Linked DNA regions of Mus musculus: regions 1, 2, 4 and 5 are each reported to be linked to region 3. The links are microRNA targets in miRTarBase. Many come from high-throughput screens and were not tested one by one. Region 3 holds a microRNA gene; each other region holds the end of a gene's coding sequence.
What was found. The annotated mature microRNA mmu-miR-24-3p reads UGGCUCAGUUCAGCAGGAACAG and lies in region 3 at 1,368-1,389, opposite strand. An mRNA with a match to its seed (bases 2 to 7 or 8) in the 3' UTR can be bound and repressed. Matches are read on the target gene's strand: a 7mer-m8 pairs with bases 2 to 8, a 7mer-A1 pairs with bases 2 to 7 and ends in A, and an 8mer does both.

Region 1 (3,073 bases), not on the chromosome of region 3:
TGCTTGGATATTGCAATTCATTCTTTAAAAAATCATATATTTTCCATATTAAAGTATAAGTGGCAATTTTGCCTAATTATAATTAAACTTGTATTAATTCTTGGTAAATTTTTAATATAAATTATTGGTGATGTTTTTAAATTTTAACAGCCTCAAGTACTACAGCCTTCCAGCAGCCTTCCCAGATCTACAGACCACGCCCAGGGAAAACTAATAAAGCCACAACGTACCGAGGCCCACAGTGACTACACAGTTCAAGGCGTGTGTCCGGGTGGTGCGCATCCAGATGGAAGCTGTACACATGGCTTGCAACAGGACAACAGCCGTGGTTTGCAAGAGCGTCCTTCTTCGTCAAGCCCGCAGTTGACAGTGGATGTGGTGAAGTACATACCTTCTGAAACGGACCTGAGCATGACTCTGGATGCTCAAGAGCCTCATCATTTGGCAGAGAAAAAACCTAGTGACTTGCAGTTTGTAACTCCTCCTCCTCAGACCCCTTCCCAGTCAAGTACAGTGGACCAGACTAAGAGGGGTGGAAGAAACCAATGTCCTCAGCCCAAGTCCTTGCAGCTTTTAAAGCCATCCAACTTGAGTTCTTTGACACCTCCTCCAGATTCTGACTCCTCACCAAGTAGAACTTCCACATGTAAGAAGGCACCAGGAATCACACCATGCCATTCAAAACATCAGCCAACATCGAATCAAAACAATCCTGCAAATCATTTGAATCTGAAAACGTCTAAACTCCGTCCCCCTTCTGGCTCTTTCAAGCAAAAACAAATAAGTAACCCCCAAGTAGAGCCTCAGAACTTCCAGGCCAAGACAAGCATCCCAAGGCCATTAGCACGGCCAAAAGAGCTGCATGCTCCACACAGCGGTTTGCATTCTGGGGATTGTGTGGCCTCTAATCGATATTCTCGTCTTCCTAAACCAAAGATACATTAAGTGCATAGCCATCACCTGCCAATTTGTTTTTTGAAAACAGTCTGCTCTCTAATAGCTTTATGTGCAGCTTATTACTATGTTGGAGGTTCCATTTCAGCAAATCTTAAAATTAAAATGCAGAAGCTTCTATTAGTTTGGTTCTTCCATTTTGTATCCTGGCTGAATTACATACCATTTGCACATACTTGTCTCAGGTAAACACAAGTTTACTTATCCATCTCAGAGGCCCAAGTCCCTCCTCATGCTATCCAGCCTTCTCTCTACATACCAGAAAAGTCAAAATATTCCATGTATCAGGCAGGATGTGTACTTGGCTGATGTAGTCCTGTTGTGGTTATCAGAATCTCACCCCGATGCTTATTCTTCTTGTGAGTATGGCTGCTATTTTAACTAAAGATTCAAAGTGACGGTGGAAGGTAGCTGTCTGTAAGCAGGGTTCTGGCCAGGTTTTGTGTATTTAGGAAGTCTATGCAAAAGGTCCCCAGTGAGGAAAGACCAGGCTTTTAGTGGGGGAGTCCTTAGTAGTTTCATCTCTCCTTTCTAGGATCAGTAATCTAGTCCTACTGCTTCTCCATTTATCAGACAAATTCCCATGCTGACAGTTGTCATATTTTATGTAAACCAGTTATATGTTGCTGTAACATCTTGTTTTACGTACACATTTACTCTTTGCTTATATTGCTACTGGGTAGATTTGGAGAGCTGGAGATGCCTATGGCATATCAGTTGTAAACTCTGTTGGTGCTAGAGTTTTGTGCTGGTAATTGAGTTTTGAATCTTATTAACTTATGGATCCATCATACTTTCAAGTTTCCATAACATACATTGGAAATTTAAAATTATAATAATATTTGTATTTATTGACTTTTTCCTAGTGTCTGAAGACTAGAATAATGGACTTGAAATATTTGCACAAAATTTTGATGAGATATAAAAGAGGGTTTTAAAGCTTATTTTCTATAAAAAATGAGTTAAAACACTTTAAGAGAAATATATAAATTTAAGACTATCATAAGTCACTTTTTGGGTTTCCTAAGTTTCTCTTTTCTGTTGGTGGAAGGTTGAATGACAGTTTCTTGAAAAGTAGATTTGGGGGAAATTAAGTTGTAGGTAGGAAAGAATACTTTCTTAAGAGAGATTGCTCCAGATGTCCTATGGAAGGTAGCTGTGGGTTAAGAGAGATTGTTCTAGATGTGGCTGTGGGCCTCCAAGTGACCATGTACAGGAACCCAGCTGGGCTTCTGGCAACTTCACAAGCAGTTGAGTGAATTTACCTCATGTTTGCCCAAATCATGCCATCTTTAGGCTGGTCATAATTTGTTTAATTCATAGTAAGATTTCTCAGAAAGATAACCTTACAAGATCAGTATCTGATTAGCTGACCAAAAATGCATCAAAAGGAATTATGGCCAAAAAAATTAAATGTCTATGGCTTCCTTTTTAAATGTATCTAGGTTACAAAGAGAAACGTGGTATCAAGTGCATTAGTGCAAAGTTACAAAGTCACATTTGCTGCGGTTTGGGGGGGCGGCAGTCTTCCCTTAAATGTCAGAACCCCTCATGTGGATTTGTCTTTTGGAGAGGCAGACCTTTTTCCAGTTTGGGAACAGACGAGCATAGTCTCACACCACAGCACGTTAGTCAGAGGAAGCTCAGGACAGGCTGTGCATGGGTTAGACGGTACTGGGTCATTGCTGCTGTGGCAAAAGCACTTATTCTTCCTTCATGACAGTGAGCCAGGTTGGCTACAGGGGTATATGCTTTCTCCTTACGGAGAATGAAAACGAATCTCATGTATCGCACATCAGCTACAATCATACTCTATGCCCTGCAATAGAACATACTAATTAATGTATTAGGGTTTTGTTTTTTTAATTAGAGACTTTTATAGACTTTATGGAATACTTCTACAAATTGGTTTATCCTTGAAGGAAAGTTTTTTAAAATTTATTTATAACCCACTTGTCTGAGGGAAATGTCTTTGTTGTCTGTTTTGTTACAGTGTTGACTCCAATAATTTCTTTATTCTAATCTTTGGCCTACTTTAATTTTTTCTCCCTGATAAATTTGTAGAAATATTTATCCAGCAGTTCACCCTCTCTATACCTTTGTTGGGCCTTAGTCTTAA
Region 2 (3,073 bases), not on the chromosome of region 3:
GCTTCCCGGAGTCCAGCTCCCCAGCCCCAGGTCTTCCACCCACCCCCTTCACCTCCCAGTCCCCTCCCCTTCCTCCCGACAGCATCCCCTTCCTCTTGGTCCCTCTCCCCCCCGCCGCCACCCCCGCTCCGGCAGTGTGCAGGCCGGCGCCCACAGGTCCTGGCCGGGCTGGGCCGGCCACTTATCACTGCCCCTTGCATCGCAGTTCGGAAGCTCCGGAACCCTGCGTGTCCTTTCCCCCTCACCTATTCCGGAGCGCTGCCGGCTTCGCTCTCACTGGGCCCGCCAGTTTGGTCCCGTTTCTTTCTCTAGTTAAGACTCCTTGCCAGCGGCCTCACTTTTCGGCCTTTTCACATATGCATATTTGGGGGGGCCCTTACCCCCCCTCACGGAGAAATGGAGGCAATAAAATGGCGGACCCGGAAGTGAAGGCGCTGTGACTATACGTCCTGGCGGAGGAATCTGAAGGAAATGGGTTAGCGGAGCCACTTTGCCCTTCTCTCAGGACCTCAACGCACCTCTGAGTCCGACTCCTTCCTACTGAGGACCTCGTGAGCTGGAAAAACGTATACCGCGGGCATCCTGAGCGGGACTACTTAGCGAGGCGCAGGATCACCGATTACGTGGCTTACGTGAGGGATAGTTCCGGCAGGGGACGGACGCAGATGGTAGTTTTGGCGCCAACCAGTGCAGCGCTCGGAGGAACTGGTTACTGGTGCGTGTTGGCGTCCGCACTCTACCTTCCTGCTGGTTCAACGCCGGGCTAACTTGAGGGTTGGGGGAGAATCTTGCTTCCGCTATTCGGGACCTTCTGGTTATGCACTCCTGTCTGACCGGACACTTTCCCAGTGTCCTGAATATAGGTCAGGAAAGAACCCCTGAACTTTTGGGGGGAAGACTAGAATAGGATGGGACATGAAATTGCATGTCTTTCATTTACCAGTCTATCTTGGTTTCTGTTCACCATTTTAACTGATATAAGGACCGAGAGAAAGCTCGGAGAAAACCTTTCAAAAATCAATAACAGGACGCTGGAGCAATGCCTTAGGAGACCCCAGTTCAATTCCCAGCACCCACATTGCAGCTTACAACTGCCTTTAACTCCAAGATCTGACACCCTCACACAAGCAAGCATACATTTAGGCAAAACACCAATGCACACTAAAAATTAAAATCAGTAATAATAACAAACACGCCTTTGATCACAGCAGGAGGCACAGGTCTCCTAATTTAATACCAAAGTGCTAGGCCCACCCTAGCAGAGTCCAGCAGAGTCAGGTGGATTTCTCTGAGTTCAAGGCCCGCCTCCGAAGAAAACCACACAAATTTAAAAGTTAATAATGGGCTGGGGGGCGTGGCTAATCTCTGAGCACTGGCTGCTTACAGGGGAACCCTAGCAGGGCCTTGTAGATGCTTGGCAAGCCCTTCTACCATTGAGCTATGTCCAAATCCTAAATTGTTCTTCAAAGTCAAATATTAGACAGACAGAAGGAAGCGCTGGAGAGATGACTCAGTGGTTAAGAGCACTGACTGCTCTTCCAGAGGTCCTGAGTTCAATCCCCACCAACCACATGTTGGCTCACTTGTAATGGGACCCAATGCCCTCTTCTGGTGTGTCTGAAGAGTGCAACAGTGTACTCATATATAGTATAGTAAATCTTTTTAAAATAAAAAGAAAAGCTTCACTTAAAAAAAAAAAGAAAGAAAAAAAGATAAAAGGGAAAGCTGGATTCGGAAGTGTGAGTAAAATCTGTAGTACTTCATTGGAATGGAAAAAACTAAGCCCCAGACTTAGGATTTAACGTCTTTATTCCATAAATGAATAAACAGCTCCGCAATTCATCTGCAATAGCTTTGGAAGGAATGGGGACGGGTAGGGTCTGAACATAACTGCTTACTTCACGGTCTTATGGCGGCCAAAGAACTGTGTCAGGAATCACTGATTCCTATCACATACTGCAACTACAGAAAGGCAAAGCTAAAATACTTAGGACCAAAACATCTGCCTGTTCCATGACAAAATCACAATTTTATATAAATTCCCCTAATAATACTCTGGTGTTTCTTTAGATCAGATACATCTTTTGTCTTTTAGGAATTATCCTCATAGTGAAGTTTCCCTGTGAAGACTCAAATCTGATTTTCTGAGCATTTCTACCCACAGCTGGAAGCAGAGCTGGATATTAAAGGAGCTACCTCTGAAACGGTGCGATGTTTTTCCTCATCCCACTCCTTTGTTTCCCACCTTTAACTGCCTGCGTGTTTCTGGGGAAGAGAATGCATTGTAAGCAGCAGCAGCATTTCTTATCTTAGCCTTTTAGAAATCCTGTTTTGTAGAAAGTGTCTCAAAACTTCCAGGTTCTCATTACTTCTTGAAGCAGTATTTGCTTACTGGCCTGGTAGAGGACATTAGGGAGGCTCAAGTAATCTTTGAAGTTGATTAAAATGTAACAAACAAACAAAATAATTGGTCTCCCATTTTGCACAACTGTACCTCTCTGTGGTGCCTCAAATAAGGGTGATTCTTTTCTGGGATTAGTTAATATTCTCCGGGCTGACGGGAGGAAATCCTATGATCTAGTACTCCATTGATTAAACCCTTGACTTTGTGCCTAGAGGGCTTTTGAGAGAAACGGAGTAGGCAGATAAATAAATAAATAAATAAATATAGATAGATAAATAAGTACGTACATACATACAAACCTACAATTCAATTGGCAGATTCATCAGCACCACCAGCACAATAGAGGGAAGAGAACAAGATTAAAGTGGAAGGCTTAGAGAGGAAGGGACTTAAGAGGGAAGATAATGAAGGTACGGGGTGGGAGAGAGATCTTGGCCTTAAAGCAAGTCCAGGTCGACAGAGTGGATGCTGGCAATAGGCGCTCTCCAGAAGTTGAAGGTGCTGTACTCAAGGAGGGGGTCACCTTCAGGGTTCTTCTGCTCCGTCCCAGATGCCTGCCCGTTCATTTTGCCAACGCTGCTGCTATCCTTGCTCTCGTAGGTAGGTGTATCTGACAGGCCCAGGCCTTCCAGCTCCGACAGATCCAGTTCTGGGATGGGCATCCTCCAG
Region 3 (3,121 bases):
GGCGCAGACGGGCGCGCGCGCGTGCGTGCGTGCGTGCGTGTGTGTGTGTGTGTGTGTGTGTGTGTGTGTGTGTGTAGACGGGCGCGCGCGCGTGCGTGTGTGTGTGCATGCGCGCGTGTCTGTCTGTGCTCGCATATGTGCCCGTCCTTAAGCCCTGTGTGTGTGTGTGTGTGTGTGTGTGTGCATGCGCGCGTGTCTGTCTGTGCGCGCATATGTGCCCGTCCTTAAGCCCTGGCATCTTGCCAGTCAGTGCATCCCAGCATAGGCAGAGTACATTCTTGTAACATACTCCCTCATGGAACTGGGGTGACCACAGATTGGTCTCATACACCCCAGGTCTGGGTTATCCCTCCCGTTCAAGCCATCCCCAAAGGATCCCAGGATCTTCAGGTCGCAGCACCTACTGACCACAGAACTATATTTACACCTTCCTAGAAGCAGGTGGAGCAAGGTTGGGGATAGGTGCAATGCAGGTTAGGAGCCCAGGGTGTGGTAGATATAGTGGTGCAGCTGGTATTCCCAAACTCCAGACACTGGAGGAGTTTGATTCAAGGTCAGCCTGGTCTACACAGAAATGCTGTTTCAAGAGAAATGAAAAAAGCCAGCAACACACATGTGGGAGGCGGGAATGAAGAGACGTCAGCCCTTACGGAATGAGGCTGTGGAGCTTTTATTTAGTTGGAGAACAACATTCAATACAAGCTTTCAACTCTGTTCTTCCACCCAGGCTTCGATTTGCCCCTGCCCAGAGTAGGGAGAGGACACTGTATGGTCTGGGAAGTGTAACTCAGCCAGTTCCAATTAGTCTGCATGCAGTCTCATTTGTGGGTAGTAGGCAACTTTTTAACTTCCAAGCCTGGAGATTACTTCAACAGGCCAATGGGGGGGGGGGGCATGGATCTGTTCATATCCTGAGGCCTGTGTGGACCTCGCTCCCTGCCTCGCTGTCACCAGCAGAAAGCTGCAGACCCCATGGGATTGCTAGGCACACTGGATCAGGTCAGTGCCTTCTTCCGGAAGCAGAGAGTTGGCATTTAACCGTTAGAGGGCCTAAAGCAGCTTCCTCTTGGGTAACTGACTTCAAAGATGGTATGTATAAGGGGTGGTGCCTGAGCCCCACCAGACTTAGGAAAAGAAGGGCTTCCAGGCCCTGAGGGGACATAACTGGCTTTTAATGCAAGGGTTACCCGCCCATCTATCTGCTTTGGGGAACCACAGAAATCTCAAGGTGGACACCCAGATGCAGGCTTAGAGGCTGAGCCTCCAGCAGACAACGGGGCTTAGGTTGGACTAATTACCCCATTGTTTCCAGGTCTTGCTCACGGCAGACATTCTGCAGGGTTGCCAGCTCCTAGGGGGCTGGACTCCTGTTCCTGCTGAACTGAGCCAGTGCACTGGAATCAACTGTTTCAGCTCAGTAGGCACGGGAGGCGGAGCCCGGAGAGAGGCAGAGCCCTGCCAGCCAGGAGGCAGAGCAGGGTGGGCAGCAGCGGCCTGAGGAGATGGGGTCCAGGGGGCGGAACTTAGCCACTGTGAACACGACTTTGCTGTGGACCTTGCTCACAAGCAGCTAAGCCCTGCTCCTCAGGCCAGTTGTCATGATAGGCTTCTCTGTTACCCAGTACCCAAGACAGACATCCTTGGCGACAGGAGCCCCCAAGGCAGAGCACAGGGTCAGTTGGAAATCCCTGGCAATGTGATTTGTGACTGGCATCAAATCCCATCCCCAGGAACCCCAGCCGTCCGAGGCACAGTGAGGGGGGCAGCAGGTGGGAGCGGAGTGTAGCACCTAAAGAGAGAAAGAAGAGACAGTGAGATTGGAGCATTCTTGCTTGCCTGCCTATCTTGACCAGGCTGGGTCTCACATAGCTGAACACAAGGTTTCCGAATGCACCAGTTCTTCCTGCCTCTACCTCTGGAGTCTAGGATTATAGGTACACCTCACCACACACAGTTTAAGTGGTGCTGGGGACAGAATCTAAACTCAGCTTGCTGATCCACACCCTAGCCCTCCTCTACTTCCAAGAGGGAAGAAGCATTCCCAAAAAAGAGGAGCATCGATCCGTAGGAAGGTTGGAGCGAGGCTGCTGGATGCTGGGCACCCAGCAGTGCCTCTACCCCAGCCCTACAAAGCGGGAGGTGCCTGAAGCCCTAAGGCCAAAGGGGCTGCAGAGCCTTCCCAGCTGCTTCCCACTCTGCTTCTATCCCCACCCACAGCCCTGAGCCCAAAGCAGGCCAAATGGGGCCATGGAGAGGAAGCTGAGGGAGGTGGACGGTTGGAGGGAGGAAGTGACCTCACCCCAGCTGGCGCCACTTCCTAGAAGCCTGAAGGGCAGGAGGAAACTCCAGGGCCTCCCACCTCAGCCCTCTCCTCCCCAGCCAGCTCAGACATAACCCCACCCCCACCCCACACCACCTAGGGCCCAAGCAAGGAGAAGCAGGCCGATGCACCCCAACAATAACACCTCAGTAAAGTTTCCCCTAGGCCTTCCAAGCCTCAGTTTCCCCATCTGTAAAGCAGACTACAACAGTTGCAGTTGGTGGCTCACGTTTATCTCAGCATTGAGGAAACTGAGGCAGGAAGGTTGCCAAGAATGGAGTCAAAAGCCTGCTTAAGCTACATGATGAGTTTTAGGCCTAACTGGGCTACAGTTTGAGACCCTAGTCTTAAATAGAAGAAAAACAAAAATAAAACAACAAAACCCCAAACCTTCTACTAGGAAGGCCAGTGAAAACTTACAGAGAAGGTATTTAGCACCCAGTACCAGGGCAAGCCACAAAATTTGGGGCCTACCCAATGTAGAGTAGTGTCCTGCGTGCCAGTTAAAGTTTTCAGGGGCCAGCAAGCTGATCCAGCAAGTGAGCAGAGCTGCTATGGAGCCCAATGCCCTGAGCTCAAACCCAAGAACCACGAAGAAGAAAAGCATACGGACCCTTGCAAGTTGTCCTCTGATCTCTGCACTTGGGAACACACACACACAATTTTTAAAAATTGTTTAAAGAATTTCAATGTTGGAGAGATGACAGGTTTCTTTCCCAGAACCTACATGACAAGCACAGCTATCTATAGCTCCATTCCCAAGAGCTCCAACGCTCCCCACTGGCCCCTGTGGGTACCAGG
Region 4 (3,073 bases), not on the chromosome of region 3:
GGGGTTATAGGGGGCTTTGGGGATAGCATTTGAAATGTAAATGAAGAAAATATCTAATAAAAAATAAAAAGAGAAAAAAAGATTAAAGATCTTATTGTCTTTCTGAGAAAATGAAGCATCTAGGACTTTGGGAAGTCAGGGACTTCAATAATAAGCTACATTATTTAAAATCTAATAAACCAAAAATTGCTTTTATGGTACCCAAGGGAGAATGACAATCTAAATAATCAGAACCTAGAAGAGTCGCCTGATGCTAATGGCTCACTCTTTTGTACTGGAAGCACTTTAGGAGCCTGATTTAAATTCTTCCTGTCTACTGATGTTTGGGAGAAACAGAGAGTCTTTTTGTCCTGCTAAGGTTAGATAGAGGCTAAGTATAAAGAGCCCAGACTCTGGCAAGCAGGAGTATAAATGTTCTGTGTTGTTGATTTGGTTTTTTATTTGGTTATTTGAAGCACTATAATTATTAATACCCATTCTGCAATCATAGTGCATGGCTTCATAATCATAGGCCTATCATTATTAGCAGTAGAGTCTTACATAATTTACTTAATCTCCATAAAAGTCAGCTCTTTTATCCTAAAATAAGAGTAATAATAATTTCTACTTCATAAGACTATTGGGACAATTAAATAGCATAGCCTATATATAGGGACCAATATAATGCCTGGCACATACACATATTATCAATATGTGATAATTGATAATAATTATTTTAAAGATATTTAAAATCCCTATATGATACATATATATGTATATATAAATATGAAATAAATATAGGATTAAGAATTTGTACAATAAAGACACACACACACACACATACACAAACACACACATAAATGTCTTATAGTCTCTGCATTCACCCACTTACAAGCTATGTAAATAAAACAGATTATACTAAAATAAATTAAAAAAAAGAAATCAGAAAGCCAGTTGTGTACAACATCAATCTTAGATATAACATTAATTAAAACTCATAAAAGAAACTTGAAATGAAATGGGGGAAAACCAAGAGATCTTTGAATGTATAGCAATTAAATAAAAGTTGTGTTAGCTCTGTGGAATTTCTTGTCCCAAACTGAAGTTTTTATATATGTATAGTCAATAAACCCCCACAGCAATTATATCTTAAATATCTCACTATGGGAATATAAATACCATTTAAAAGCTGGGTGTCTATTGTTTTCTAAAAAATGTCTATTGATGGTTAAACACTTATCTTAGGATTGTTCTAGTTTTTGTGAAAATCTCTTCTCTGGATTTTATCAAAGTGGGAATTTAAGCTGAAAGAACTAGGTAAAGAGGCCATATCTAAGTAGCTGTAAAAGATAAAAGGAAAAGGCCTACATTGTGAACTCGGGTGTGGCTGTGCACACCTGTAACACAGCTCTTAATGGCAAGAATGAAAGAGCATTGCTTTTGAAGTAAAAAAGCCCTACCTATCACAGAGAGGCATTGTCTCAAGCAGCCAGGAAAATACTCCAATGTAAGTTTAGAATCCTTCCTTTAGATTCATAAAACAATGTACCAGAATTACTTTAGAGGGTGAAAAGTATCATACAGGATAGGGTAGGGCAGATAGCAGTTCCTTCTTTTAAGTTGATTTAGTGTGTTTGTGAATGGATCACAGACCACTTGTGGAGGTCAGAGGACAACATGCAAGAGTTAGGTCTCTTCTTCCACTTTTCCAGTTCTGAGGATTGAACTCATGTTTGAGGTCTTGGTGGCAAGTGTCTTTACACACTGAGCCCTCTCTCTGGCACTCCATAACAGTTATGTACTGTGTATTTAAAAACAAAACAAAACAAAACAAAACAAAACAAAAACAAAAACAAAAACAAAAACAATAACAAATGATTGTGAATGTGCTTGGTCTGGAGAAATGATAGATATTGGAGGAGACAGATATGCTTTGCCTAATTCAAGTATTAAAAATATATATCCATATTGAATGGTATCTTGCTAATAGATGTGAGCTTTATATTTATCAGTTGAAAAATTAAAAGTTTATGACTATCTGTTTATAGTATCTAAAATAAAAGTTTAGGTCCAGAATGTTGTTGGGTTAAATAACAAAAATGACAAATGATGTTTTCTCAATACCCACTAGCCTCTGTAATCACTTTTAGAGGCACTGTACAACTCCAAAAACCCATATGAAATAGATCCCAATGTATAGAATGAGGCCATAGAGTCATGGAGAAGGCAAGGTTCTTGCTGGTAACATACAAATGGTCAATTAAAGACCTAGAATTTGGGCAGAAGGAGTCTAAGAGAAAGGCTGATGTGAACTTCTGAGCTGTGGGAGCTAATAATCCAGCATGAAGTGGAAGAACCCTTCCATTGGCATACACCATAAAGTCCACAAGCTTCTTTAAAACCATCAGCCAGACTCTCCATGTCCACCACAAGAAGCAGAGACTTTTATATCTATCCCGAAGCCAAGGAAGCCAAGGGAAGGATTGCCCTCTATGGCTCATCAAGAAGGCTGGATAGAAACAAATTCCCAAGCTCCCAGCACTAGGCCAATACAGGGTCAGCAGGGTACCTGACAACTGAGAAGCAGAGGGGTCGGGCTCATAAGCACAGACCTCGTTCCTAAGAAATTCTGGCTTCATTTTGTGCTGTGTTTTTAACCCACTTCCTAGAGACAGAAGTCGGTAATAAGACACAGGAGCAATGAATTAAAAGGAGAAAGCCAGAACTTTAGAAGACAGAGGTAGAGGAGTAAACCCCCATCTCTGCCTACCACCCCAAGCCTCTCTACCTGCCACCTCGATGGGCACTCCTTACATCTGTGTGAGGAGGTACAATTTCATTATATTCTCTTTCCATTCGGGCAGATAGGCTAAGCTTGTAGCCACTTCCTTCTGGATAGGCCAGCCCCAGGCCTCAAAGAATGGAGCCAGATTCCTCTGCACTTGCTGGGAGAACATCTTGACCCATAGATTCATTTTGTCGACGTTGTCTGAGGGCGGCGAGCTCGATGTTGTCTGGTTTCTGTACTCGGTGAAGAGACGAATAAATGGCTCCCAACCAAAGGCCTCTTGGAGCTAGAAAGGGAAAGTTGGAA
Region 5 (3,073 bases), not on the chromosome of region 3:
TCAATCATCGTCTGGAATAAAAATACTCTTACTCTAGTGTAACACTGAAAACATCTGAAAAGCACAGTCACTATCTTGATAGTTATTCTCATAGTAGGAATTAGTAGAAGAGAAAACGTGTGTGTGTGTGTGTGTGTGTGTGTGTGTGTGTGTGTGTGTGTATAATTTACTCATACAACTTGTAAAGTGGTGTTTGACTGCTTATATCAAAGATATAACATTCAAAAATAATTTCCTTTGATTTACAGTTACACAACATAATCTCTGATCCTCCTGCCTTGACCTCCTAAGTGCTAGGATTGAACACTTGTGTTATCACTCCCAGCCTGTGGGGTACTGGAGAGCAAACTGAGGGCTTTGCATGATAAGCAAGTATTTTATCCACCAAGCCACATTCCCAAGCCCCCAGACTAGGTTTTCAAGTTAAAATCTGAATTGTTGGCCTGTTCGTATATTGCTCAGTAGCTGTGCTTGTACAGAATGTAGGAGGCACTAGGTTCAAGCCATACTACTATGGGAGGAGGGAAAGCAAACCAAGCAATGCTTTTTGCCATTGTTTAATTTATTTCTCTGTGTAGTACTGGCTGTCCTGGAACTTGCTAAGTATATAACGCTGATCTATGTAGTTTACAATGCCTGATCATGTTTTAATATTTGAAAATTTTTATTTTAGTGTATATGAGTATTTTATCTGAATATATGTCTATGTACCACATACTTGTCTTGTGCCCAAGAAGGCCACATCCAAACCCCAAGAACTTGTTAGCACAGTGCAGGTACTGACAATTGAACATGGTTTCTCTAGCAGAGAAGGGGGTGCTCTCAACCACTAAGCCATGTATGTCTCTAGCCCTTTTGCTATTATTTTAAAAGCTTCTGTAGGTTAAATGTGGTCAGAAAACACCAAACAAAAGCTTAGACATGTGAACAGCCTTTCTGTGAGTGGCTTTCCTTATTCCACTATTGCCTACCACCTTGAGAGCCACAGGTCATTTCACTTCATAAAACTAAGTTATGTCAGGTAAAATACACTTAGACAAACCAGGTGTCATGCCACACGCCTTTAATTCTAGCACGTTAGAAACAAAGACAGGCAGACGTCTATATGCTCCAGGCTACCATGGCCTACATAGTGAGTTTCAGTAAAGCCAGAGCTACATAGTAAGGCCCTGTCTCAAAAAAACAAACAAACAAACAAAAGAAACAAAGGCTTAGACAATCCAGAAGTGCTAAAAAAACTTGACAGCAATACTTTTATTTTTAAGGTTCTTAGTAGTGCCTTAGATTCCCATCGCTGTGAGGAGACACCATGACCAAGGCAACTCTTATAAAGGACAACATTTAATTGGGGCTGGCTTACAGGTTCAGAGGTTCAGTTCATTATCATCAAGGCAGGAGCATGGCAGCACTGGCACTGCTGAGAGTCCTACATCTTGTACCAAAGGCAACCAGGAGAAGACTGTCTTCAGGGCAGCTAGGAGGAGGGTCTCAAAGCCTACCCCCACAGTGACACATCCTCCAACAAGGCCACACATCTAATAGTGCCACTCTCTGGGCCAAACAGATTCAAACACATGAGTCTATGGGAGCCAAATCTCTTCAAACCACAAGTAGGATTCTTTTCATGAAATATGACTTCATGATTGCTAGATTCTAATACAGGATTTTTCATCTTTTACTTTTCTCAGTATAATCAAAACACTGAAATGTTTAGGTACATGACTATACAATTCACAGACACACAAAAATGTAAACTAACCTTATATGACATAATAAGGATTAGGACATTTTTCAAAATAAGTTACTTTGAAATAATTTTTTTTTTTTAAAGATTTATTTATTTATTATATGTAAGTACATTGTAGCTGTCTTCAGACACTCCAGAAGAGGGAATCAGATCTCGTTACAGATGGTTGTGAGCCACCATGTGGTTGCTGGGATTTGAACTCTGGACCTTCGGAAGAGCAGTCGGGTGCTCTTACCCACTGAGCCATCTCACCAGCCCTGAAATAATTTTTATAATCCCAACACTCAGGAGGCAAAGGCAGGTGGATATCTGTAACTTTTTGAGACAGGGTTTCTCTGTGTAGCCTTGGCTCTCCTGAAACTCTCTTTATAGACCAGGCTGGCCTCGAACTCAGAGATCCACCTGCCTCTGCCTCCTTTCTTCTAGGATAAAAGGTGTGTACTACCGCCATCTGGCTAAAAGAAATACTCTTTAGAAAACAAAAACAAAAACTATGTATGAAGAATAAATTCCTACCTGTGGGGGGGTGGGGGTGGGGAGGAAGGAGCCAAAGGAGGAACATAATTGTGATGCTAAAATGCAGCTTTACAGGATAAGAGATACAGGCTCAATGCTCAAGACTATGTACTGCTCTAGACCCAAGTTTAGCTCCCAGCCTAGATATTGAGTAGCTCAGAACTGTCTGTAAAGCTAGCTCCAGGGGTCTCTGGAGAGATGGCTCAGTGGTTAAGAGCACTGACTGCTCTTCCAGAGGTCCTGAGTTCAATTCCCAGCAACCACATGGTGGCTCACAACCATCTGCAATGGGCATCTGATGCCCACCTCTGGTGTGTTTGAAGACAGCTACAGTGTACTCATATAAAATAAACAAATATTTCTTCAAAACAAAACAAAAAAAAAAAGCTAGCTTCAGGGGATTCAACAGTCTTCTGGCCTCCACAGACACTGTAAATAATACCAAGAAAGTATTTTTATATTTCTATTTAATCGGGTCTCTTGGGCCCTTTTTCTGGATAAATATTTTCAAGTATTAAAGTGACTACAAATGAGATAAAAGCCACTAAAGTACTTACAATCCTTAAGGCTTTGAACCAGTTGGGATAATGTGGTAAGAGGAAAAGTTCATTGTGTAATGCTATCCCTAAACCTATTATTAATGTGACTATGGCTTCATTGAGTCTTTCAGAAAATAGGATGGCTGCCCATGAAAACAGAATAGGACTCATACTGCTAGCTAAATTAATGTAGTCTGGTTTGGCTGGACTACTTTCTGGCAGAACAAAACCCCATCTGATCCCTCCCAAGAAAGCTAGGAAACCGGCTCCA

Region 1: the mRNA of Ccser2 is a reported target of mmu-miR-24-3p. Seed matches in the 3' UTR shown: 7mer-A1 at 2,678-2,684.
Region 2: the mRNA of Mllt11 is a reported target of mmu-miR-24-3p. Seed matches in the 3' UTR shown: 7mer-A1 at 1,576-1,582.
Region 4: miRTarBase lists Tcaf1 as a target of mmu-miR-24-3p. The part of its 3' UTR that is shown has no 7-base or 8-base seed match.
Region 5: miRTarBase lists Tmem69 as a target of mmu-miR-24-3p. Seed matches in the 3' UTR shown: 7mer-A1 at 2,532-2,538 and 8mer at 2,463-2,470.

What each region holds. Positions count from the first base shown.
Region 1 is chr14:36,876,840-36,879,912 of GRCm38, reverse strand. It overlaps Ccser2 (coiled-coil serine rich 2), which reads left to right. Exons shown (of 11, transcript NM_027045.1): 11 at 151-3,073. The coding sequence ends at 245. Among named protein-coding and RNA genes, the nearest start is that of Ccser2, 90 kb to the left of the region's middle.
Region 2 is chr3:95,217,344-95,220,416 of GRCm38, forward strand. It overlaps Mllt11 (myeloid/lymphoid or mixed-lineage leukemia; translocated to, 11), which reads right to left. Exons shown (of 2, transcript NM_019914.4): 2 at 1,201-3,073. The coding sequence ends at 2,842. Gabpb2 (GA repeat binding protein, beta 2) reads right to left here and starts at 599. Exons shown (of 10, transcript NM_029885.1): 1 at 246-599. Gm16740 (predicted gene, 16740) reads left to right here and starts at 114. Exons shown (of 4, transcript NR_108026.1): 1 at 114-715; 2 at 2,096-2,206.
Region 3 is chr8:84,207,143-84,210,263 of GRCm38, reverse strand. Mir24-2 (microRNA 24-2) reads right to left here and starts at 1,449; the gene lies at 1,343-1,449. It overlaps Mir23a (microRNA 23a), which reads right to left and starts at 1,746; the gene lies at 1,672-1,746. It overlaps Mir27a (microRNA 27a), which reads right to left and starts at 1,592; the gene lies at 1,506-1,592. Mir3074-2 (microRNA 3074-2) reads left to right here and starts at 1,357; the gene lies at 1,357-1,439.
Region 4 is chr6:42,670,586-42,673,658 of GRCm38, forward strand. Tcaf1 (TRPM8 channel-associated factor 1) reads right to left here. Exons shown (of 9, transcript NM_001355769.1): 8 at 2,768-3,053. The coding sequence ends at 2,790. Among named protein-coding and RNA genes, the nearest start is that of Tcaf2, 27 kb to the left of the region's middle.
Region 5 is chr4:116,550,304-116,553,376 of GRCm38, forward strand. Tmem69 (transmembrane protein 69) reads right to left here. Exons shown (of 3, transcript NM_177670.4): 3 at 1,225-3,073. The coding sequence ends at 2,731. Among named protein-coding and RNA genes, the nearest start is that of Tmem69, 4.1 kb to the right of the region's middle.